Tribolium castaneum: one gene and its partners. The protein of the gene in region 2 purifies or fractionates together with the protein of the main gene of each other region. This does not show direct contact. Links are inferred from orthologs where the notes say so. Each region holds a gene or a part of one and is shown on either strand. Other genes may lie near its edges.

Region 1 (4,834 bases), on a different chromosome or scaffold from region 2:
GTCACTGTGATTGAGAACAGGGAGGCTGCAAGCCCCGAACCGTAGGAAAATAACCCGATTTTGCAACCGGCCAATTCCGAGACAGTTTTATTTAATAAAAGGGAGACAAGCCCCCCGTATAGTGACGGTGTGTACATGTTACCAACTTGACTTGCGATGAGCAACGAAGGCTTGGTTTTTGCCTCGAAAGTGTCTTTCGTGAAGTTGAGGAAAGCCTTCTCGACGTCACGATCGAAATAACTCTCGGATAATTTAACCGAATTGAAATTTTCCAAACCTGGGAATTTAACTGTGCGCTGATTGGGCGCACTTGTGAGAAAATCGTTCAAAGCAAGCCTAGCTAGAGACTTTTGGACCAGTTTACAATACGGCGAGTGGAACAAAACGGCATCAAAACACCCCAAATCAAATGCAGAATTGTTCTTTTTCGAATAATTCTTGCCATAGAGTTGGTAACAATTATCCAAAGCACTCAAGTAGCACTGAATCGATAATTTACCATCGACAGTGGGATATTCGGAGGTCAAGTCTGGCTTGTAAAAATCATACGCGTGCTTGACGTACGTCGCACGCACCCCTCTGTCGAAGACAAGGGGGGCGTTGGGCCCCACTAGCATGGCCACGGCCCCGGCGCCCCCCGTGGGCCTGGCAGAGCCTTTGGCATAGACGGCGATATCGCCGCAGACGACCAGGGCGTAGCGCCCGTTCCAGGCCGAGGACTCGACCCACGAAATGGCGTTGAAGAGGGCTGCCGTGCCCCCGTAGCAGGCATTGGTCGTGTCGATGCCTTCAATGTCGGTGACTCCATGGGGCTCGAACAGTTGCATCAGCACTGTTTTGACGCTCTTGGACTTGTCGATGATGGTCTCGGTGCCCACCTCCAGGCGCCCTATGGCCGAGTAATCAACGGAGTACTTCTCCAAAAGGCGCTTCACCACCGTGAGGCAGAGAGAGTTGATGTCTTCGCGGTCTGTGCAAAAGCCCATCTTCTGCTGGCCCAGTCCGATGGTGTATTTGCCGGCGGAGGCCCCGTCGAAGGTTTCGAGTTCCGTTTGGTCGACGTACTGCGAGGGGAAGTAGAGTTCTAGGGCATGGATGCCCACGTCTTGTGGCCACGAACCCATCACGATTTGACACACTTGCACTTGGTTACGCCACCGAAGAGAGTCTGAGTGCGGACTGAGGTGGATTCGGCACCTCACACCATTCCAATTATAACTTACACCCTACTCTTTGAGTTAACCTCAATTTCGGATTTTTGAACGGTGACAGATGCGCAACGAAACCTAAGCGCTAACAACCCAACGACCACAAACCCCAAATTCATTACAAAGCCACGAAATAATCAATTTAGTCACACCGGACTGTTCCACAACAAATACTATTGCTAATTTTAAGTCACAAGAGCACATATAATTAAATTAGAATTAATTTGAACAAGTATAAGATAATGCAGGCATTAGACCAGAAGCGCATTGGTACAAAAGTGCCAAACTCGTGTGACATATAACCACACTTTAGGTGGCACTCAAATTGGCCCAAAAAAAATGTCCAAAATATTCGATAACGACTCGGATTCCGACCCTGAATTAAAAACAGACAACGAGTACGCCAAAAACTACGACAAGTGGCGAAAAAAAGAGGAATTAAACAGGCGTAAGCACCCAGACTTGTCCAACCCCAAATGTCACGTTTCTTTCAGTAAAAACGAAATATGGTGAGGAGTTACTGGACGAGGAGTCGTCCAGTTCGTCCTCAGATGATGAAGAAGGCGTCGAACTGACGGACGAAGTCGAGAAACAATTTTTCAAAACCTTGTCATGCCTCAAAAATAAAGATCCGAGGATCTATGACGAAAACGTGCGTTTCTTTGACGAAACTCCCATAAATCAGCCGAAAACAAGCAAGAAGAGTAAAAAAGACAAGCCCCTGTTTGTTAACGACTATGAGCGAGAGCTGATTTTGAAGAAAAACGGTGAATTAAGTGACGATGAATCAGGGGAAGGACCGCCACGTTCGCCAACTTATATCGAAGAACAGAATAAGCTCAAGGAGAGTTTTAAGAAGGCTTTGAATCGTATTAGTGAGAGTGATGATGAAGATTGGGGCGGGGTGCTTAAAGTTAGACAGAAAACCGAAGAAGAGAAGAAGAAGGAGGAAGCTGATTATTTTGAGTGGTTGGCTGGGCAAAAGGAAGAAATTGATGATAAAGAAGTTGCAAATGAGTTGGAGCCGTTGAAGAATTACTGGAATAAGCCTGATTTGGATGAAGGCGAGAAGTTTTTGAGGGACTACATTTTGCAAAAAAAGTAAACTTCATTATTGAGCGAAGTAATCCTGAATTGTGTTTTGTAGATTTTTGAGTAAAGAAGATGAGGATTATATTCCAACGTATGAGGAAATTGTCCACGATTCTGATAAAGACTTGTCTGAAGATGAAGAAGCAATTGAAAAACAGGAGGAATTTGAACATAAATATAACTTTAGGTTTGAAGAACCCGACCAGGAATTTGTAAGTTAATGGTTTTGTATTATTTTTTGATCAGTTTTGGTTGTTTTAGATTAAGCGGTACCCAAGAACCATGGAACATTCCTTGAGGAAAACAGACGATAAAAGAAAAGTCAAACGACAAGAGACTAAAGAACGGAAGAAGAAGGAAAAAGAACAAAAAATGCAAGAAATGAAGAAACTTCAAGAGCTGAAACGGAGGGAGATTGAGGAAAAGATACAAAAACTGAAAGAGATTACCGGAAACAATGACATGGAATTTAAAGATGAAGACTTGGAAGGCGATTTTGATCCTGAAGCGCATGACAAGCGGATGCAAAATTTGTTTAATGATGAGTTTTATCAAGGACCGGAAGGTGAACAAAAACCGGAATTTCCCGAACTTGACGAATTATTAGAAATTGGTAAGTAAATGCCGATCATTTTTTGGTTGTTTTATTAATAATTCTGTGAAGAAAATTGGGAGAAATGGAAAGGTGATGATGAACCACCTGGAGAAGAAACCGAATATGAGCCACATTGTGAAGATGAAGATTTTAATGTGAGTCTGAAATTTAGGAATTTTATTTTCTAACAATTTTGTACAGATGGATTGCGATTATGATCCGAAAGCCGCAACCAAGCAAGAATTAATCGAAAACAGCAAAGGTAGGAAAAAACGGAAACGCAAATCACTCTTTGCCAAAGCTGTAAGTCAGCCAAAACCCGTATTTGACCCGAACGATAAAACTTATGAGCAATATCTGGACGAATATTATAAATTTGATTGTGAGGATATTATTGGCGACGTTCCTTGTCGATTCAAATACAGAAAAGTGGTTCCTAATAGCTTTGGTTTGTCGATTGAGGAGATTTTAACAGCGAGTGATCGCGAATTAAATAAATGGTGTTCGCTCAAAAAAGCCATTCAGATTCGGCCAGATCACGTCGAAAAGTACGACCAAATCGCGTTTGAGAAAAAAGGAAAAAACTTGGAATTGAAGAAAAAGATTTTGCCCAGTTTATTTGCCAATGAAAATGACAAAGAAGAAAACAATGAAGTTGAAAATAAGAAGAAAAAGAAGGTGAAGAAAGTCAGGTGTGCGAAAACAAATGATGCGGCAAAAATAAACGGTGATGCCAGCACGAATATTAAAAAGAAAAAGAAGAAGAAAAAGAAGATTGTGCAAAACAATAATGAAACAGACAGTAACAACAAACAAAAACTATCAAATAGTGAAACTGTTGTTTCGAATAAAAGTGCGACAAAGGATAAGTCAGATGGCAACAAAAAACGAAAATTATCAAGTGGTGAAGCTGTCCCGAATAAGAGGGTGAAAAAGAGTAAGAAACAAGAGGTAGAAATTACCGATGCCCGATTGTCCGCCTACGGGATTAATCCTAAGAAGTTTAAAAATAAATTAAGATATAAGAAAAATTGAACAAATAAATTGTTGAGGAAAAAAAAACATTTTAATACTTTATCCACATAATATATTTACGACACAAATGAAAAATACAACGTCAAAAATCTACGGTGAGTTGGAAATATCCATATTATCCGACTTTTCCGACCCCTTTTCATTCCCCTCAACCTCCCTCTCTTTCTCCTTGTCTCGTTCGGAATCGAACCCCTTCTCCTCTTCATCGTAATTCCTGGGCACCTTCTCCTTAGACCTCGACCTCTCCTTCTTCTTCTTCTCCTTCCTCCTATCCCTACTCTTTGACCTACTCCTCTTCTTGGCCTTTGGGGACGGCGACGGTGTCCTCCTCCTCCCTTTAGACCTCGACCTCCTCCTCTCCTTCTCCTTCCTCCTCTCCCGCGACCTCGACCTCCTATGACTACGACTGCGCGATCTCGACACCTTCTTTTCCCCACCCTCTATACTACTCTCCTTCTTATCTTTCTCTTTCTTATCCCTTTCCTTCGACTTCCTATCCCTCTCCTTTGACTTGCGATCCTTATCCCGTTTCCTATCTTTCGACCTATCCCGAGTCTTAGATTTGGCCCTTGGCCTACTGCGACCCTTCGATTTCGACCTTGACCGGCGTTCGCGCGACCTTGAACGCCTCGTACGTGAAACCGAACGTTTCCGAGAGCGAGACTTCGAGCGTTTACGCCGGTCACGTGATCGTGAACGGCGTGAACGTGACGTTGAACGGCGACGACGTGAACGTGAACCACGCGAGAGTGACCTTGAGCGTGAGCGGCGTCTACGCCCTCTAGATCTTGAGCGGGAACGTCGCGAGCTCCTTTTATCTTTAGTTAGCATTCCGATAACTGGCTCAATCGAGGCATTGATCATGTTTTGAGCCTCTTTAAAGCGAGACATTGCTTCTTCAATT
Region 2 (3,899 bases):
CTTTGGCCGGTTTGAGTCTCTTGTAATCGGGATCGCCATGTTTGAAAGTCCACGGTTCCATCCCCCCAATCATTATGGAAAATCCACTGTACATCACTCCTCCATACATCCCCAAAGGATTATGGAAGCTGGGTCGTACGTTCCTCACCCGTTTCAAGTCTTTCCAAATGAAACTGTTCTTAACTTTGTCTGGATAGCTCTTCGGTTCAAAACCTTCAGTTTCTTGTTTTTCGCTATTAATGGCTTCGTAGGCGCTTTCCGCAGCCAACATCCCACTTTTCATGGCATAATGCGTGCCTTTGATTTTTGGTACATTGAGGAAGCCGGCCGAACACCCAACGAGACATCCTCCAGGGAACGTCAGTTTGGGAATACTCTGGAAGCCACCTTCGTTCAAAGCACGCGCCCCATAGGCAATACGTGTACCTCCCTCGAAGTAGTGTTTGACGCTAGGGTGGTGCTTGAACCTTTGGAACTCTCTAAAAGGGCTCAAATAAGGGTTGGAATAGTCCAAGGCGACAACAAATCCAACCGCCACCAAAGGAGTATCTTCATTGAGGTGGTAGAGGAAGCTTCCACCGTAGGTGAATTTATCCAAAGGCCAACCAATCGAGTGCTCAACGCGGCCAGGACTGTGTTTCGAAGGATCAATCTCCCAAATCTCCTTCAAACCAATACCGTAGGTTTGTGGCTCGGAGTTTGCCCTCAAGTTGAATTTGTTTATGATTTGTTTGGATAAATGTCCATGGCAGCCCTCCGCAAAAATGGTACATTTGGCATGTAATTCCATGCCTCGTTCGAAATTGTCTTTAGGGCTCCCATCTTTGGCGATACCCACATCGTTGGTCGCCACCCCTTTAACGCTACCATCGGGATGGTAGAGGATTTCCGAAGCTGCGTACCCTGGGTAGATTTCAACACCCATGGCCTCGGCTTGCTCCCCAAGCCATTGCACCACGTGCCCCAGCCGCACGATGTAGTTCCCGTGGTTGTACATGGGGGTACCTGGCAGTACCGGAACAGGGATTCGACCCGTGGCTGTTAAAATCCCGAATTTGTCTTCCTTTACTGGGGTTTTTAACGGTGCCCCCTTATCCGCCCAATCAGGGATTAATTCATCGAGTGCTGTTGGTTGTATAACAGCTCCTGATAAAATGTGACCTCCTACTTGAGATGCTTTCTCCACAACACAAACCCTGAGCTCTTTCCCGTCTTTTTCAGCCAATTGTTTGGCTCTTATCGCGGCAGACATCCCCGCAGGACCTCCCCCGATTATTAAAATATCCGTCTCGTCCCCGAACCGTTCCATATTCACCTCTGAATGAAAGCTGGTCAATTAGTGAGTACTTTGAAATAATTACCTTTCCATCGTGGGTCGTTTTCTCGCGGCACAACGGTATAGTGGGTCGTGATTTTGGGAAACTGGTCCGAATAACATCGTGCCAAAGGTTTCAAAGATTTAGCTGGAAAAAAAAAACAATATGCACTTTGCAACATAAACACGGTACAAAGGTCACTCTGGACAATATTTCATAATTTATCCGTGAAAAACCACCAGAATGACTTACAACCATTAAATTAACGTAACTTCCAGCAAATTCTAACATAATTATCCCAAGATTATTGTAACAATAATTAGTTTTTTCAAAAAAAAAAATTATGAAATAAGTGTAGTGACCATTGTCGTGGTTTTAGTTTATTAATGTATCAGTTGGTTGCCAAGTAACTTTATAATAAAGAACTTACCGTATTTTATACTTGTAAACAAATTTAATGCCATGTCGACCAGCTAGTTGCCCTACTACACCTTTGACGTAACATTTGTGATTGACAAACAGCTGTTTTTAAGTGTGTCTGATACTGATTCCGCCAGAGGGCCCGTCATTATTTTATCGGCTTATATAATTATCTCATGATTTATTACATTTTTTATTATTATACAACAATGTGAGAGATTAGATCCTTTTATTATATCATTTATAGCGTTACTTCATGGAGTTTTGGGTTATTTCCAGTCACAGAATCCTGTATTATCGGCCACCTGTCAAAAGATTAATGCACGTGTTTTTTCCATTTCGTCATATTTTGGTGTTTTTGTGAGTGAAAATGCCGGATTCTAGCGACGATGAGTCCCAGGCGCCCTCAGGTCCCGTCGAGAACGCTTGGGCGATGAAAATCCCGGAGTTTAAGCCCGAGGATAACCCCCATGGTCTCCTGGAGGAGAGTTCATTCGCGACGCTTTTTCCCCAATACCGGGAGCAGTATTTGCGCCAAGTGTGGCCCCTCGTGCAAAAGACTTTAAAAGAGCACCACATCAATGCAGAATTGGACGTGGTTGAGGGAAGCATGACTGTGAGAACGACGCGTAAAACTTGGGACCCTTATATCATAATCAAAGCTCGAGACATGATCAAATTAATGTCCCGGAGTGTTCCTTTTGAGCAAGCCAAGCGGGTGTTGAATGACGACGTCGGTTGTGATATCATTAAAATAGGGAAAATTACAAGGAATAAAGAGAAGTTTGTTAAGAGAAGACAGAGGCTAATTGGGCCGAACGGTTGTACGTTGAAATCAATTGAATTGCTGACTAATTGTTATGTGTTGGTGCAAGGACAGACAGTGTCGGCTTTGGGGCCTTATAAGGGGTTACAGCAAGTCAGGAAGATTGTGGAAGATACCATGAAAAACATGCATCCTATTTATAACATCAAAGCTCTGATGATCAAGAAAGAATTAGCGAAGGATCCCAAGCTCAAGAACGAGAACTGGGACCGATTTTTACCCAGATTTGTTAATAAAAATATCAGTAAGCGGAAACAACCGAAAAAGAAGAAGGAGAAGAAACCGTACACGCCCTTCCCGCCCCCACAAACTGAAAGCAAGGTAAAAAATTCAAAAATTTTGTAGGAAACAAATAACACTTTGTTAAATTTTAGATCGATAAGGAGCTAGCTTCTGGCGAATACTTCCTCAACAAGGAGCAAAAACGGCAAAAGAAACAGAAAGAGAAGAATGAAAAACACGCTGCGGCTGCGAAGAAACGTGAGGAGAAAAGAAACGAAGCGTTTGTCCCACCTGAGGAGCCCTCAACCTCGAAGCAATCACCGAATGTTAACACGAAAGTTGATATAGCGTCACTTAAAGAAAAAATCATGAAGGCGCGCAAAGGTGCAAAAATGTTTAATAAACCTGTAAAATAACAACTTGTTTGATTTGACACCGAAGTTTGACAATGTCTGATCTAGACGAAGACGAATCCCAGGAAAGAATCGCCGTTAAGGGTGGTTTTCCAGTGCGCATAGTTGAGTACAAGAGCATCAAACTGATTGCAATTTTTTTGACAGTGTTTCTTGTAATTGACGTAATTTTCTCGTTAAAACTTTTAATTTCCGCAATACAGATCAGATCCCACCTCGGGTATTTTATTAACATGATTTCAAGCGGCGATGGTGATACTTTACCAGCGTTGCAAGCCGTGCCGGTATTTTTTTTTCTCATCATTAATTTAATGATGTGTTATTTCGTTTATGCGGTGTTCGATCCCAGCGAACAACCCGGCGCCAATCGAATGATGTTCTTTTTAATTATCTTGGCCCTTGTTATGGTGGTTGTTCTTCTGATAATAATTGTTAGTGTTATCGCACACGCGTATAGCACGCATCAGAAACTCCACGATGGGATTGTCACTGCAATGAATCATTATTTGAACAGTACGACCTATAAATCACAGATTGATCGCTTACAAATTGAAATGCAGTGCTGCGGAAGCAAGAAATATGACGAATGGTATACCATCAAGTGGCAGGATCAAACACTGGAGAAGGAAACTGGGTATGTTTAAGTAGAAAGCAGCTGTTTTGAAGAGATTATTTAGAAAACGAAAGTTCACACATTATTTT
Region 3 (4,658 bases), on a different chromosome or scaffold from region 2:
TTCCTTCAATGACAAAAAAAGCAACATAACTTGTAAATTATCACAGATAGGTATAGAGAATACTAATACAGATTGATGCAGAACAAAATTCTCCTCTACCTAGTAAAATAAAAATTCGGACATCCCATTTGAAAGAATTTTATGGGTACTTGAAATTGTCCAAACTTAACCTTAAAAGTTTTGAGTTTTGTAACTTCATTTTCAATTTTGAACACACTGAAGAACAGATATAGGCCTTCTCTTTTAATTCTCCAAACATGATTTCGAAATCTCTAAAACTAAGCGAGTTACCTATTTTTTAAGAGACATGTAAATCCAAAAATTTTCAAAAAATACTAAATATCTCAAAAATGGTTAAAGTTAGGCATAGGAAAAGCTTATAAACACTCTCTTAAAATAACTCAACAAATGCAAAAACGCAGTGAAAAACATAGCTTTCCATTTAAAATGAAAAAGTTAATAGCCTTCTTGAAAATATTTTCGTTGAGCAGAAATTAACGGATTATGCCTGAGTAGTAACTTTCAGATAAATATTTTTATTAGAACTTTCAATACTTCTAATGTGAGGTTTAGACGGAACAACCTGTATATTTAATACTTTCCAATTTTAGATAATGTATTTGCCATAAAAGTGAATAAGGAGATTCCAAAGTTGATTTCAGATAAAGGACTTATTGTTTCAGAACCAGAATAACACATTGAAAAAAGCAACATTTTATTCAACATCAAAAATTAGAAATAACAATACACATTAAGAAATACTATTCTAAAGTATTAATACATAAAAAATAACACAGCGATGTTTTTTTTTTGTTATTTTCAACATTACTTTAGGCATTGAAAAATCACCTTTCAATTGGATAAATTAATGAGTTGTATTTTTTAATCAAAAGTCAATAAAAAATACATGATGGTGTAAGCTGAAATGATGAATACACACACCAATGCCGATTGTTAGCTAGGTAACAAATGTTACACAGCAACAATGCGTGTGATTTAAACGGTGGAAATCCGCAACACATTGTAGATATGTCCTGACGCAAATAATGGTCAAGGCACGCCCGTTCCTTATCACAATAAAATATCTATACAGAATCATTCAAAATCAATTATTTTGAATAATTCCGTACATGTGACTATTACCTTGATCCAGTCTCGTAATTAAATGTTCCAATAGTGTAGAATTTGATCATGTGACTTGTCAAAGGCCAACGCGATCAATTTTCCATGTTTTTTCACCTCTTTATCGAAAATATCATCTCCAGTTTCGTCCAGAATCCGACTCAAGTCCCATTCGATTGTCGGCAAAGGTGAATTAATGAATCTAGCGGCCGTTGCAACGCTTGGTATTGAATGCTGTTGAAGACTCTTCAGTTCCCACAAAGAACTGTTGATAGCGTTTGACTTGACTGGATCGCGTTCTTCCATTATGTATGGATCAGAGCTGGCGGTGCCTTCCGTTGGATTATTCAATAAACATTTGAGGCCTGGATGTCTGTAAACAGTTTATTAAAATAATTATAAATAGGGGGCTGTAATTAAACAACCACTAACCTCAAAATCAAATTCCCTATAAACATGCAGATGATGACGACGTCTTCAGAGGGCGCAATGAGAGCTAAACGGGCCAAGCGCTTGGCAAAAGCCGCAACAAGATTTTCCGGCAGATGAGTGGAACTCAAAAACAAGTCAGACAAATAGAAAAGACGCGCCTTATATTTGGTGTGGAAGATTTCCGGTTCAAACATTGAGTACAATTTAGCGAAAATGTTGGGATAGTTTAAATTGTGGACTTGGATCATGGTGAATATTCCTTGGAGGGCGAGCAAACTAACAGGGCCTCCTACATCGAGCGAATCCATGAGAAAGTCAGTTAGGAAAAGGGGTTTTTCCAAGTGGGGAAGGGCGCGTTCGAGAAGAACAATCAAGAGTTGTTTGTGGGTTTGGGGGCTGTGCTCCCACAACATGACACAATGCCACACTTTATTTAACGCACGGAGAGGAACGTTTTCGTCAAATGTGAAAAAATCACCTAAAAAATTGAAAACAGTTCAGTTTAAGTTTCTGATGGCTATATTTAAGTAAAGTTACCAGTTTCATTTCCGCATAAAGTTTGCTGTTCGTCGGGTTTCCGCAATTCGAGTTTTTCAAGTAAGCGTAAATAATTCATTATGTACGTTTCATTTGGGTTAGTTTTAGCCGTCAATGACGGTAAGAGTTTCCAAGAAAAGAAAAGAATGTCACTATAAAGAAGATATTCCGTGTATTTGTTTATAAGATGAACGTTATTGTGCTTGTTTGAGAGTAGTTTCATCAAAACAGGCTTTAGTCTATTCAGTGGTACATAGCACTCCAAATTCCCTCTATTCTCCAAAGGAAATTTTCCTTCATAGGAAATAATATTCATGGCAGTGGACAAACCTTAAGAACCACCCAATAAACATCCAACGATTCCAACAATGCAATCACTTACCCTGAATTTGAATCTTATTCGAGTCATTCTCAAATGATTCAAGAATTTTACTAAAGCAATTTTCATACAAGTTCCTCAACCATTCCTTGTATTGATTCGTTTCAGTTTTTTCGATGGGTTTTAATGGAACCACTTCTATGTACATATCCCTGTCTTTTAATAAATTCGTAAATATCAATTCCAAAGTGAGTAAACATGATGACAGGTCCGCACCCGATTCGAAATGACGTACAATACTTAGCAAATGTTCGGAATTTTTACGAGACGAGAGGAACTCGTGAGCTTTTAAACGTAATTGTTTCGAGATTTTTACCGGTTTTTCCTGATTGGACATTTTCCTAAAAACGACCGAAAACACCACTTTTTGATCACAGATTTTTCTCGACAAAGTGAGGTTATGGCGGACAGGACGGGGATTTTAATTGTCAAGTTACCAAGTTGGTGACTGTTACTTGTCAAGTCACCACCACAGAGACATATTACATGTTTCAAAACTATAAAAACGCCAACGGCGTCTTTTCTCTCAAAATTAGAGGTTATAAATTATTCATGACTTCAAGAAAATAATAACTAATGTAATTTATAGTTTTAATGAGAGATCTTATCATTAATAACTATTTTACATTTTTATCAACCTTATTTAAAAAAATAATTTAGTAAAATGTTTTTATAGTTTTGAAACAGCTAATAATTTTCTCGAAAACATAAGTCGGAGAACCATAGTCTTTTGCAAGTGATAGATAATTAAAAGACTTTCTAACGATAGTAACTTCATGGAGTTATCTCTAATACTTCCGGAGTTATGTTCGAAAAATGTTCTCAGAACGACCGTTGCTCCACGACTTTAGTTTTCAAGTTATTAATTTTTTTTTAGTGTAAAACTTTGAACGCCCCGTAGCCGGAACCGTTGCCCGGAGCGGCTTCGGGTGTAGACGAAAACATAGATAATTTTAATCGCTATCAGATGATTTTTTTGTTTGTGCTTTCAGTCTTTCAGTTTTCAAAAAAAACGCAAAAAAAGGTTTCCATTTTCACGTTTTTTCAATTTTTAAACGCCGATTATGGCAAAACGATTAGAATTAGCGAAAATCCGATAAATCGAAGAGAACCGGAATAAAAAAACTTTTCAAAATGGCATAGGTTTCAAGGCGATATATCGCAAAAAATTTCAATTTTCAAACGCCAATTACGGCCGAACTAAAAGAGCTAGAAGAAAATGCTTTTTTCCATCGTAATGGGCACCTCAAAATCTGTCAGATGAGATGGGTTTTATTTGATTTTGAGACACGTTTAAAATTGGCAATTTTCTAAATTTTTTAATTTTTTGTTTTCTCAATTCTCAATTACGACAAAACTAATTGAAAAGGTGGAACTATTTTAATGTCTGCATATGCAAAATGATTCGGGGAATTGATTGGCACGAAAAAAATGGCCAAATTCCCAATACTTTTTAAGTTATGAATGTTTGTTTATACGACCGAATTTTGCTTTTATTTAACAATTTTCTCGAAAACTATCAATCGGTAAATAATAACCTTTTTTGCAAATGATAGATAATTAAAAGAGCTTTCTAGCAATAGTAAACTTCATTGAGTTATCTCTAATAGTTCCGTAGTTATTGGGCGATAAATGTTCCGGGTACGGGAAATCGATCAAAATCGCGACAAAAATTGGAAATTGGAAAAAAAAATCAAAATTAAATCTTGTGAAAAGCTGACATAATACAGAAAATGAGCCGTTGAATTTACTGGAACAAACCGTTTTGCTCTACGATTTTTAATTTTTGAGTTATGAATTTTTTTGCTGAATAAAATTTTGAGCAAAAAATTAAAATTTTTAATTCTTGTGAGAAACTGATATAATATGTAAAATAATCCGTAGAATTCAATGGAACAAACCGCGTTGTTCTACGACGTTTACATTTTGAGTTATGATTTTTTTTAGTGTAAAACTTTAAATTAAATTTTTTAAAACTCATTCTAGCATAGTTTTTTAGACTTTTATATGCCTTCACATTTCTCTAGAATTGTTAAAAGTCTAAATGTTAATTTTTTGTTTGGTTTTTCCAATTTTTTTCGTGATTTTAGTCGAGGTGATTCCGGTACTCGGAACATTTATCAAGCAATAACTCCGAAACTATTAGAGTTAACCCTATGATCGAAGAAAAGCTCTTACGTATCTTTCT
Region 4 (4,920 bases), on a different chromosome or scaffold from region 2:
CCAGATGATAATAATTGTTGGAAAATGTTAATCACTGGCTATATTCGCAATGGAACCTTTCCCAGAACGAAGTCAAATAATTAATAATTATGCACTGTTGCTAGAATCAGCTTTAAATGGTTATTTCAACAAGAAAGGAAACCAATGGGAAGTGTGGGGCGTAGCAATATTTTGTTCAAGGTTAATTTAAAAATAAAATGTTTTTTTCCCTCAAAGTATGCAACTAATTATACACATGTGGTTTGAAGTTATAGCTTCATCTTCTAACTTTACAGTTTTCTGTTTTGATGGTAACTCAGAAAACTCCTAGAGGGCCCAAAGTTTAGGAGTGTTTACAGTTGGAGGTTACGTTTGCAGGAGAGGTTATGTTGCCGCACTGAAAATTTAGTGTAAACCACGTGTTTACAAAGGGACGCTCTTTTACGTTTCTAATTATTTGAGGAGTGAAACAAAATGTCTTTTCGTGGCCGAGGCGGCGGTGGTGGCGGCTTTGGAGGTCGTGGTCGTGGGGGCGGCGGCGCTCGAAATTTTGGTGGAGGCGGCGGGAGAAATAGTTTTGGTGGTCGCGGGGGCGGCGGGCGAAACTATGATCAAGGCCCTCCTGAGAGAGTGATTCCTTTGGGCTACTTCGATTACACCGTACAAGATGATTTAGTTGCTAAAGTAGAAATAGAAGACGTTCCATTTTTCAATGCGCCGATTTACCTCGAAAATAAGGAACAAATCGGAAAAATTGATGAAATTTTTGGAAATCTCAGAGATTATTACGTTTCGATACGTCTCGGAGACGACATAAAAGCTAGCAGTTTTAAAAAGAATCAAAAGGTATAAAAAAATTCACTTACCATTCACACATCTAAAATAATGTTTTGCAGTTGTTTATTGATCCTGCGAAGTTGTTACCACTTCAAAGATTCCTACCGAAGCCCCCAGGCTCAGTCCAGAAACGAGGCGGTCGAGGGGGAGGTCGTGGGGGTGGCGGAGGCCGCGGTGGTGGCAGAGGGGGCGGCAATCGCGGCGGGTTTGGAGGAAGAGGAGGCGGCAATTTCGGTGGACGTGGGGGTCGTGGGGGCGGCGGCGGTTTTAGAGGTGGTCGTGGGGGTGGATTTGGCGGCGGCCGAGGAGGGGGCGGCGGCGGCAAGAGGTGGTAGACTTGAAATTGTGACCAATGTTTTTTGTGGTTGGCAATTGTTCCATTAAGTGTATGAAATTTTTATTACGAAAATAGATCTATGAAAAATAAGAACTACAGGTTATTTCAAATTTTTGTGTGAATATGTCAGCAAACAACACGAAATGGATGGTGCCACTGTTTGACAAAGTTAATAAATAAAGAATATTTAAAAAAAATTTAAACTGAAAACAAAACCTTAATCATCAAATTTTGTATGTTTTGCTTTCTTTAACAGTTTGTCTCTACCACGTTGTTTCTTTTTTGCTTTGTTTAGTTTATCCTCACGATCTGTTTTAATTTTTTCCCAATATGAAGATTCTTCCTGTCCTGTTAATACCTCTTTTTTGCCAAAAGATTCTTGGGAGCAAAAATTTTTAGCGCCCTCCGTGGTGTTAAATCTTACATAAATGTTCTCACTGCCAGGGTTTGGAATATCTACGTACAATATATCAGCTGAAGAAGTTTTAATTTCATTCTGAAAAACGATTTATCGCAAATAAATTGGCCAAGATATTTAGTTTAGAAAATTTACCTTAAGTTTCTTTATATCCAGGGTAGCTTCGGTTAGCTTTATTTTTACAATAAGTCCCTTGGTAAAATCCTCTTTGTTGAGTTCAGTCTTAGCAGTGGGAGTTTTCGACTTTTGTTCATAATTTGGTTGATTAAACTTGGCTTTTAGAAGGTGTTTTTTAAACTCTTTCATTTTCTTCTTTTGTAAATCTAGATACCGATTTCGCATCTTTTTCCACTCTTTTCTAAAAAACAATTATTTATCAATGATTAAAGATAATTCTAGCTGCTTCACTTACTTTGATAACACTTGGAGGCCCAATTCTTTTATGTAATTTTTCTTTTTGTGTTCTTTTTTCAATTTCTTCTTTTTCTTATTTTCGGCATCGTCCGACTCAGAAACGTCTCCAGTATCATGTTTTGAATTTTTTTCTTTTTCGTCACTTTCACTGTGTTCATCATTTTCTTCAGTGTGCTTACTATCATCGACTTTCATTTTTTTCCCTTTTTCTTCACTTTCGCCGGATTCACTTTCTTCAAGTTTTCGTTTTCTTATTTTTTCCTCCGCTTTACTCTCACAGTGTTCACTATCTAGTTTTTCGCTATTCTCACTATTGTCTTCAAGTTTTCGCTTTTTTGTTGCCTTTTCGTCTTCTCCAGATTTTGGCTTCAGTGTAGAATTTTTAGAGGAAGCCTCAGATTGTTCATTACTTTCTTCAAATGTTTTAATACTACAAAGAGTTTCTGGTTCTGTATTTGACGGCATTTTGCAGCCAATGCTTTCAAAGTAATTTAAAGCATTTTGCGCTTCCTTTTCTTTCTCGAATTCGACAAAAGCAAAACCCTTTATGGCACTATTGTTTTTGTATTTTGGTATAGAAACGTAGACCACATTTCCAAATTCAGAAAAAACAGAGTTCAACCATTCATGAGTTGCATCGGATTTTAGGCGTTCTACATAAATCGTACAATCATCAACGTTAGCCTTTTCTTTAACCGGTTTTGTACGACGAATTCTACTACGATCTTCTGATAATTCGATTAACTGCGACTTTTGTACAGCTTTTTGGATATCATCTATGCTGGTTGTGAGTTTAGTAATTTTGTTAAATTTCAAAAATACGTTCAGGTCGACAACTGAAAAAAGTGCTTGGTATTTACCTACAACTACTCATAAAATAATCATATAGTCACTTACAAGGATTCTCCTTTATTAATTGAGATAGAAATCTATCTTTGGTGAGGTTAGAGTCGCTAAAATAAAATTCCATTTGCTGCAAAATGGAATTGTAGAGTTGCTTTTTTCGATGGCGACCTTTTTTAAGTATTGAATCGTCGTGTGCATTTGCATTTTCTTTCGTTTCATTTTCCATTTTCAATACTTTGCAGAAGTAAAAATGAAAATTATAACCTAACTTAGCGTTTGGAAATGAAATTGAAAAAGAAACTGCCGCCAACCATAGAAAAAAAATATTTGTTGGAGGTAAATTTGGTTGCCTAATTAAAAAAAATGTTTTTAGAATGCAAAAAAAATCATTTACTTTTTAAATTATACGCCGCTTACTCTTATTCATAGGAGATAGCTCTTATTCAAAAAATAATTATGTTTAGTTGTATCAATTACACCCATGCTACTCCTAGTGCATTGTGTGCTGCACTTTTTACCTAATCAGGCGTGAAGTCTTAAGTGAATAACTCTATGTATTTAGTTTAGATTATGAAAAAAAAACTTTTATACTTTATTAACTAATTTAATTAAGTTTTACCATGAATTTGAATAGTACTTCAAATCGTTTCAAATAATCCATTATGTGAAACTGAATACTCACCTTGATTTCATCTTTCTTAGAAACGAACTATAAAGTCACCGATAAAATGATAAAAGTAAGTTGTTTATTACATTAAGTTACTTAAATCACTGACATACTTATATTGTTTGCCTTATGGATTGTGAAATTTAAACATCAGCACGTATAAGTACTGATGTTATCGCCTTAGCAACATATAAGCCACCAACTTGAGCAATCTTACAATAGGTTTAAATTTTATGAAACCATAAGTAAAATTATTCATCAGATTAAATTACAACAGTCATTTAAAAAAAACATTTATCATAACTAACTCATAGTATCTTTGCCGATGTTTTTTCGTGCTTATTTATTATTTAACTATGTACTTTTGGAGATGTTTTTATCTTTTGGCTTTTGGCCACAATTAATGAGGCAAATTCAAAATAAAAAGTTATAGTATGTACATTTGCAAAGATATTTTGAAAAACACATTAATTTTTTTAATTGTTAGTCCTTGCAATTTTAATTTAATTCTGGTCTAAAAGAATCATTGATCCACAATATTGATCCGTAAATGTATAAGTTTTTTCTAGTTAAAAGTTTAAAATAATACGAAATACAAAATAACAACAAACAAACAAAGAAAACAAACGTTAGAATAACTACAACTTGTCCTATCCAAATGTTTATAACTACTTTTTGTATTTAGATACACCAGCTATCAATAAAAAAAGTCAAGTGACTTAAATTAAAACTTTGTACCCTATTCATATCATTTATGTGTGTACTTAATTGTACTCACATTGTAAAACGATTTACTGATGTCATTGTTTTATTAACAAGTAGATAACAAGCATTTAAGTCATCAAGATAAATTAGGCTTAAGTCTTTTATCTAAGTCACTCAAACTAACGTCTGCATGAAGTTTTAGCAGACGATAGGCAAGTGGATAATGTTACAATAATTATAAGCACGTTCAATCATCATACAACCTGAATACCTACTTATAGATTATTATTTATCTTTTTGTCAATTTTTTTCCGATTTCTTTTTAAAAATGAGGTAAATACACTCATTTTATAAAAATGTAAAAATTGTCTATTCAATTACACAAATTTTTCATTATGAAAGTTTTTCTATTTGATTAAAAATTATTCATAAAGAATTTATTGTAAAAAATTTATACCTACTTACTTTTCAATCTCTTACTAGATAATTTTTCCTGTTGAGATAATGAGAATGAGAGTACCACCAGCAGGTGTTGTCCATATAGGGTGAGTTTTATAGTAGAGGCCAAGTGCCAAGTATAAAAAAATACTTGTACGTAATGTAGAGGGTTTTGGAAAAAAAAAACAGGAAAAATACGTTTTGAATAAAAGAAATGTTTAGAGACAAGAATGAATTTAAAAATAAGAAAAAAATAGACAACATCAAAAATAGAAATAC
Region 5 (4,889 bases), on a different chromosome or scaffold from region 2:
ACAATGTACTTCAACGCCTGTCAGGCCAACGCCTCTAGAAATGCAATTTTTGGAAGACTTGCATCTTTCGATAAGTGGGGATAAAGTGTCGGAAACAAATAACGGTGAACAGAAAACTCCCAATACGTCTTCCGCGAAGAAACGGCGCAGGGTCGTTGTTACCATGATTGATTAATCCATTTTATTGTAATAAAAACTTTTATTTTGGATTGTTCGCAGTTTTTTTAGGTTTGTAAAGTGGTATCCGCTTTTTCGACTTCAATTCTTTCTCTACAGCGTTTTTCACAGTTTGTAGAGCCGATTCGTTGGTTTCCAAATTTGGGGAAAATTCGCCGGAAATAAGCGGATATTTTCCGCTAAAACCCTTCGGGAAAATGGGTTTGGTGAGAAGGGCAGTTAACTGTTTTCTCTTAACGTCTGCGAGCTTTTTCTGTGACGAAATTTCGTCAGAATCGAATTTTTTTGAACTGATTTTTGTGTTAAGGAAGTGATGTATGCAGTTGCGATTTCAGAATTGTTATTTAAAGGATACAAATCATCGACGATAATATCCATTTCTTTAGCCGCTTTACGCAACCACCCTTCCTCCGAATTTCCCTTCCGTATCTGTAATTCTAATTTGTCCAGTTCTCGTGCTAAATTCACTCGCTGTTTGACGGCTTTTAAATACTCTTCCTGTACCGGAAAAATCGGCAAATCTTCACCTGTAACAATTCACAAAATTGCAATAAATTATTTCACAGCCCAACAAAATAAATCAGTTATTATCTCATTAATTAGATGATTTAATTTTATTAATCGTATTTCTTAAGAAATCTAATAGAGGTTTATTTGTTTAATTTTTTGAATAATACAAATATTGTACAGGATTGCATTTCTGTAAAAAATATGGATACAAAAAACTAGTCACAGTTGTTGGAATTTCTTTAAATTTGATGTATTTTTTTATTTTTCTCTTCAAATTGTTTTATCACATTACTACAATCTTTTCATTGGCTGCTTCTTTTGATTGTTGTTCTGATAGTTTTTAGATTTTTTTACCTTAAATGTGTGATTCAGTTTTCATATCATCATTAATTTTTCCGTATTCAATTTTTAGTTTTATCATAAATCATCATTTGTTACAACATTTTTTTTTCATGAGATTTAAACGTTAACCTTTTTCATAAAGATAGTTCATAAAAAATGATTTTTATTTTATAGAATTAGCAGTTTTACCGCCGAAACCAAAACGTCACTTACTTCTATTCAAAGTTTTGCAGATTTTTATGTAGTTCTGTATTTCCGAAGGCTCCATTAAAACTACAGTGAGACCTTGCTGAGTCGCACGAGCTGTGCGCCCAGACCTATGAACATAACTCTCACTTGTTCTGGGTGTCTGATAATGCAAAACATGCTCGATTTTCGGAATATCCAAGCCTCTAGCTGCCACATCAGTGGCCACCAAAATTCCGTGTTCATCGTCCCTAAAACTATTAAAAAATTACAGTATTAATATTAAACATTTTTTAATTTTTGTTAACATGGGCAAAAAAATTAAAAATAAACATTTTTCACAATATTTTACCGTTCCAAATTTTTCAAACGCTGTCTCTGCTGCATGGACGCGTGAAGGGGCAAAGGCCGACACCCCAAAATGCCCAACAAATTCGCCAAACGTCGCACACATCCGATCGAATTACAAAAAATCAAAGTCCTGCCTGGATGCTTCTGCAGGAAATAATACACGTAATAGTCCTTCTCCTCAATCCCGCAACTGATTCGGCTTTCGGTTAAAGTCGCCGGTGTGTTTCCACCTTGACTTATGTCCACAATTTTCGGGTTTTTTATGCCCAAATCGGTCATAATCCTGCTAAGTTTTTGTTGCGGTGTCATTTTCGAAACCTTTGATTTATTGAAGCGGTATTTCGGCAAATCGTGTACTAGAGTGAGCGTTGCAGAAAAAACGAAATTTTGTCTTTGTTTCGCTCTTGTTTTATCAAGGTTGAGACGTTCTAATATGTTGTGCAGCTCCTCAAAGTGGCCCTTTTCAAGCATTCGGTCCGTTTCGTCAATTGCTAAATATCTGTAAAAATATTTAATAAATGAGTATGAAATTTTGTTGAAAAAACTCGACTTTTATTCACCTAATATCGTTTATTTGCGACAAATGTTCATTGCCTTGTTGGATTAATTCCCACAAACGGCCTGGAGTTGCGACCACAATTTCTGGTCTCTTACTCAAAATTCGCTCCTGTTTTACGGCAGCCATGCCCCCAAGAACCACCGCAATATTTATATCTATTGAAAAAAAATTAATAAGTCGTTATTAGTATTGATTCAAAAATACCTGTAAATTTTACAATGGCTTTTAAGTGGTCTCGCACTTGCACCGCCAGTTCCCTTGTCGGTGTCAAGACAAGTGCATACAATTTTTTATCCGAGTTTCCCACAACTTTACTTTTTTCGTTCAAAATTCCGGCCACAATTGGCAAACCAAACGCAAGCGTTTTCCCACTTCCCGTCTCCGCAGCCCCCACAATGTCCCTGCGCCCCAAAACGGCCGCAGGTAACGAAAGCGACTGAATCAGCGTTGGTTCGTTAAAACCTTGCAAAACGAGCGCCTTGATAATTGAGTCAGGCAACCCGAAGTTACTCCACACTAGATAACTGTCCGATTTTTGGATTTTTTCGTTAATTTCAACGCGCGTCTCAACACTACTGCCCTGTTTCGAGGGCGTTAGAGCCACGGAAGACACTTTCCGTTTTTTCTTGGCCGGTTTTTCAACCACGACAGGGCTTTTATGCTTCTTGGAAATCTTGGAGCGGTTTATCTTTCTTGGTTTTTCCAAATTTACCAAACCGTAATCTGTACATTCCTCGAACGCGACTAAACCCTCGGAATTGAGATTCGGGTCTTCCACAGGGACTGGTTTCCAATTTATTTTGTTTTTAACCATTTTACATAAAAAATTCTAACCACACTTTTATGACATGTGATAACATAAACGTAACCTCAATAACCATTTAAGTTGGCAGGCTTGTTTAAATAAAACCACATTTGCTTATTATAAAATTTATTTATTAAACAAATTAATTACAATTATATTTGTGGTGGTGCTAATGACTGATACAACTTGGACACGGCCGTTTCCACAATTTGCCTAAAAGTCTCATCTTCGGGACACGTCACTTCCTGAAAAAAAATTGCAAAATTTGATTAACACAAAATTGCCTTACCAGAGTGGATAAATCAATATCGGCCTTTTTGTCGTTCACTGTAACGTACAATTTCTCCCCTTTGAACATTTTCGGGACTGAATCTTCCCCAAACATGTCTTGCAACATTTCAATTAAACATTCCTAAAACCTCGTTATGTGAATCAATAAAACGACAAAAAAATAATTACTTTAAAGTGCATCCGGTCCACTTTCACACTAGTTGATAAGTTTTTAATCGGAGTGTCCAACAAATCGGCCTGAAGTATCGCTGCCACTATAGCATCGGCATACATATCGTTAACAGGGTTGGCAACCCATTCTAGCGTCACAATTTTATTTTCTATTGTAATATCAATAGCATTAAAGGCCCTTGTCTTTTTGTCCCCTTCTACGGGTTCGAGCAAACCCGCCACTTGGGTCAACAAGTGCCGCAAAACGCCCACATTCCCCGAATAGTGAATGCTCTGTCTTTGCATAATTTGGCTCATACTCATGTCAGTGTACTCTAAAAAATGAAATAAAAACAATATTAAGTATATGTTTATTTAACGAGTCGCAGTGTAAATCGGACGCTTTATGCCACGAGTGATAAAAGTAGAAAAAAGTGAAAACTGCAACATGTTTTTTGCGTTTTTCTCGCAACCTTTGAGACTTAAAGCAAAAATGAACAACGCATCAAAATTTATCGTACAAACCCGGAGCCGCTATAGGTAACAGTTCCGGCTGCAAAGACATTTTAAGTTTATTACTAAAAAAATTCATAACTCCAAAATTAAAAGTCCTAAAGTAAAATGGTTTATTTCAGCGTATTCTACAGTTAATTTCATGTATTACGTTATTTTTTGACAGCACTAGCTTGCTTGGGAACCTATTTATAAGCATATTTCAAATTGAAAGATGGTGGATGCGCCGGGTCATCTACTAAACATTTACAACTAATTAAAAGTCCTAGAGTAAAACTGTTTATTTCAGCGTATTCTACAGTTAATTTTGTGTATTACATTATTTTTTTACAACACTAGCTTACTCCAGAACTCATTTATAAGCACATAGTAAATTAAAAAAATGGTGGATGCGCCGGGCTACTCACTAAACATCTATAAATCAAAAACTAAAAGTGCTAGAGCAAAACAGTTTGTTCCAGTGAATATCACTGCTCATTTTACGCAATATAAGTGTAATAATATGGTTTGTAATAATTTTTTTTACAAAAATAAAAAAGAACAAAATTTTTTTCCTTACTTGGCAAGTCGTTAGCCGCCAGCAAATGATAATTAAAATTCCTCTTGACCAAAACCCCCGAAAGCACATTTCCAGGCTTAGGTTTCTCCACCGCTAAACTCCCCATAACTTTGGCCGTCTTCTCTCCCCTGAAATACAGCTCAACAGCGTGCGTATTTCTGGGAGTGTGCAAGTGTATTGTGGTGTTGGGATCATCCTCGTACTCCCTCTGCAGGGCGGCTTTAAGCCGATTCATTTCATTCTGCTCCCCGTGCACCAAAACAACGTGTGGCGGTTTGAGAATTCGGATAAATTCGCTCGTTTGTTGGTAATCGGTGTGAGCAGAGAAGGAAATGTAATCGACTGACATTTTCAACGGCAGTTTTTGCCCAACCATCGTTGTGATTTCTTCGGGTTCGGAAAGGATTGTTTTTGCGGGCGTTCCCTCAACGCAATAACCGGCAATT

Evidence for each region.
Region 1: the proteins of dbe (region 2) and protein KRI1 homolog purify together in Homo sapiens (affinity purification with mass spectrometry; 3 studies listed by BioGRID and IntAct, with this or other methods). This does not show direct contact. The link is inferred for Tribolium castaneum from reciprocal best matches to the Homo sapiens genes KRR1 and KRI1.
Region 3: the proteins of dbe (region 2) and nucleolar complex protein 4 homolog B purify together in Homo sapiens (co-immunoprecipitation; 3 studies listed by BioGRID and IntAct, with this or other methods). This does not show direct contact. The link is inferred for Tribolium castaneum from reciprocal best matches to the Homo sapiens genes KRR1 and NOC4L.
Region 4: the proteins of dbe (region 2) and Larp7 purify together in Homo sapiens (affinity purification with mass spectrometry; 4 studies listed by BioGRID and IntAct, with this or other methods). This does not show direct contact. The link is inferred for Tribolium castaneum from reciprocal best matches to the Homo sapiens genes KRR1 and LARP7.
Region 5: the proteins of dbe (region 2) and ATP-dependent RNA helicase DDX24 purify together in Homo sapiens (affinity purification with mass spectrometry; 3 studies listed by BioGRID and IntAct, with this or other methods). This does not show direct contact. The link is inferred for Tribolium castaneum from reciprocal best matches to the Homo sapiens genes KRR1 and DDX24.

Annotation. Positions count from the first base shown.
Region 1 is NC_087396.1:21,290,126-21,294,959, reverse strand, and holds protein KRI1 homolog, read left to right. Parts: upstream 1-1,471; 5' UTR 1,472-1,547; coding exon 1,548-1,656; intron 1,657-1,702; coding exon 1,703-2,309; intron 2,310-2,355; coding exon 2,356-2,512; intron 2,513-2,561; coding exon 2,562-2,913; intron 2,914-2,964; coding exon 2,965-3,050; intron 3,051-3,096; coding exon 3,097-3,930; 3' UTR 3,931-4,020; downstream 4,021-4,834. Other genes in the region: Hmgs (hydroxymethylglutaryl-CoA synthase 1), read right to left, coding at 1-1,124; Srp54 (probable splicing factor, arginine/serine-rich 7), read right to left, coding at 4,021-4,834.
Region 2 is NC_087402.1:7,508,872-7,512,770, reverse strand, and holds dbe (KRR1 small subunit processome component homolog), read left to right. Parts: upstream 1-1,925; 5' UTR 1,926-2,106; coding exon 2,107-2,883; intron 2,884-2,936; coding exon 2,937-3,200; 3' UTR 3,201-3,203; downstream 3,204-3,899. Other genes in the region: Etf-QO (electron transfer flavoprotein-ubiquinone oxidoreductase, mitochondrial), read right to left, coding at 1-1,317, 1,362-1,463, 1,747-1,780; rod outer segment membrane protein 1-like, read left to right, coding at 3,233-3,352, 3,401-3,831. UniProt on the Homo sapiens protein: Part of the small subunit (SSU) processome, first precursor of the small eukaryotic ribosomal subunit.
Region 3 is NC_087395.1:51,722-56,379, forward strand, and holds nucleolar complex protein 4 homolog B, read right to left. Parts: upstream 2,922-4,658; 5' UTR 2,808-2,921; coding exon 2,474-2,807; intron 2,422-2,473; coding exon 2,092-2,421; intron 2,033-2,091; coding exon 1,555-2,032; intron 1,496-1,554; coding exon 1,162-1,495; 3' UTR 1,144-1,161; exon of another isoform or gene 1,086-1,143; 3' UTR 699-1,085; downstream 1-698.
Region 4 is NC_087394.1:30,501,673-30,506,592, forward strand, and holds Larp7 (la-related protein 7), read right to left. Parts: upstream 3,139-4,920; 5' UTR 3,058-3,138; coding exon 2,883-3,057; intron 2,822-2,882; coding exon 1,984-2,821; intron 1,930-1,983; coding exon 1,707-1,929; intron 1,650-1,706; coding exon 1,371-1,649; 3' UTR 1,152-1,370; coding exon of another isoform or gene 876-1,151; 3' UTR 826-875; coding exon of another isoform or gene 454-825; 3' UTR 2-453; downstream 1-1. Other genes in the region: Gar1 (H/ACA ribonucleoprotein complex subunit 1), read left to right, coding at 454-825, 876-1,151. UniProt on the Homo sapiens protein: RNA-binding protein that specifically binds distinct small nuclear RNA (snRNAs) and regulates their processing and function.
Region 5 is NC_087396.1:20,625,853-20,630,741, reverse strand, and holds ATP-dependent RNA helicase DDX24, read right to left. Parts: upstream 3,006-4,889; 5' UTR 2,940-3,005; coding exon 2,330-2,939; intron 2,281-2,329; coding exon 2,127-2,280; intron 2,066-2,126; coding exon 1,568-2,065; intron 1,473-1,567; coding exon 1,243-1,472; intron 705-1,242; coding exon 533-704; intron 468-532; coding exon 200-467; 3' UTR 180-199; downstream 1-179. Other genes in the region: myb-like protein X, read left to right, coding at 1-175; Cpsf73 (cleavage and polyadenylation specificity factor 73), read right to left, coding at 3,083-3,175, 3,220-3,342, 3,390-3,706, 4,444-4,889. UniProt on the Homo sapiens protein: ATP-dependent RNA helicase that plays a role in various aspects of RNA metabolism including pre-mRNA splicing and is thereby involved in different biological processes such as cell cycle regulation or innate immunity.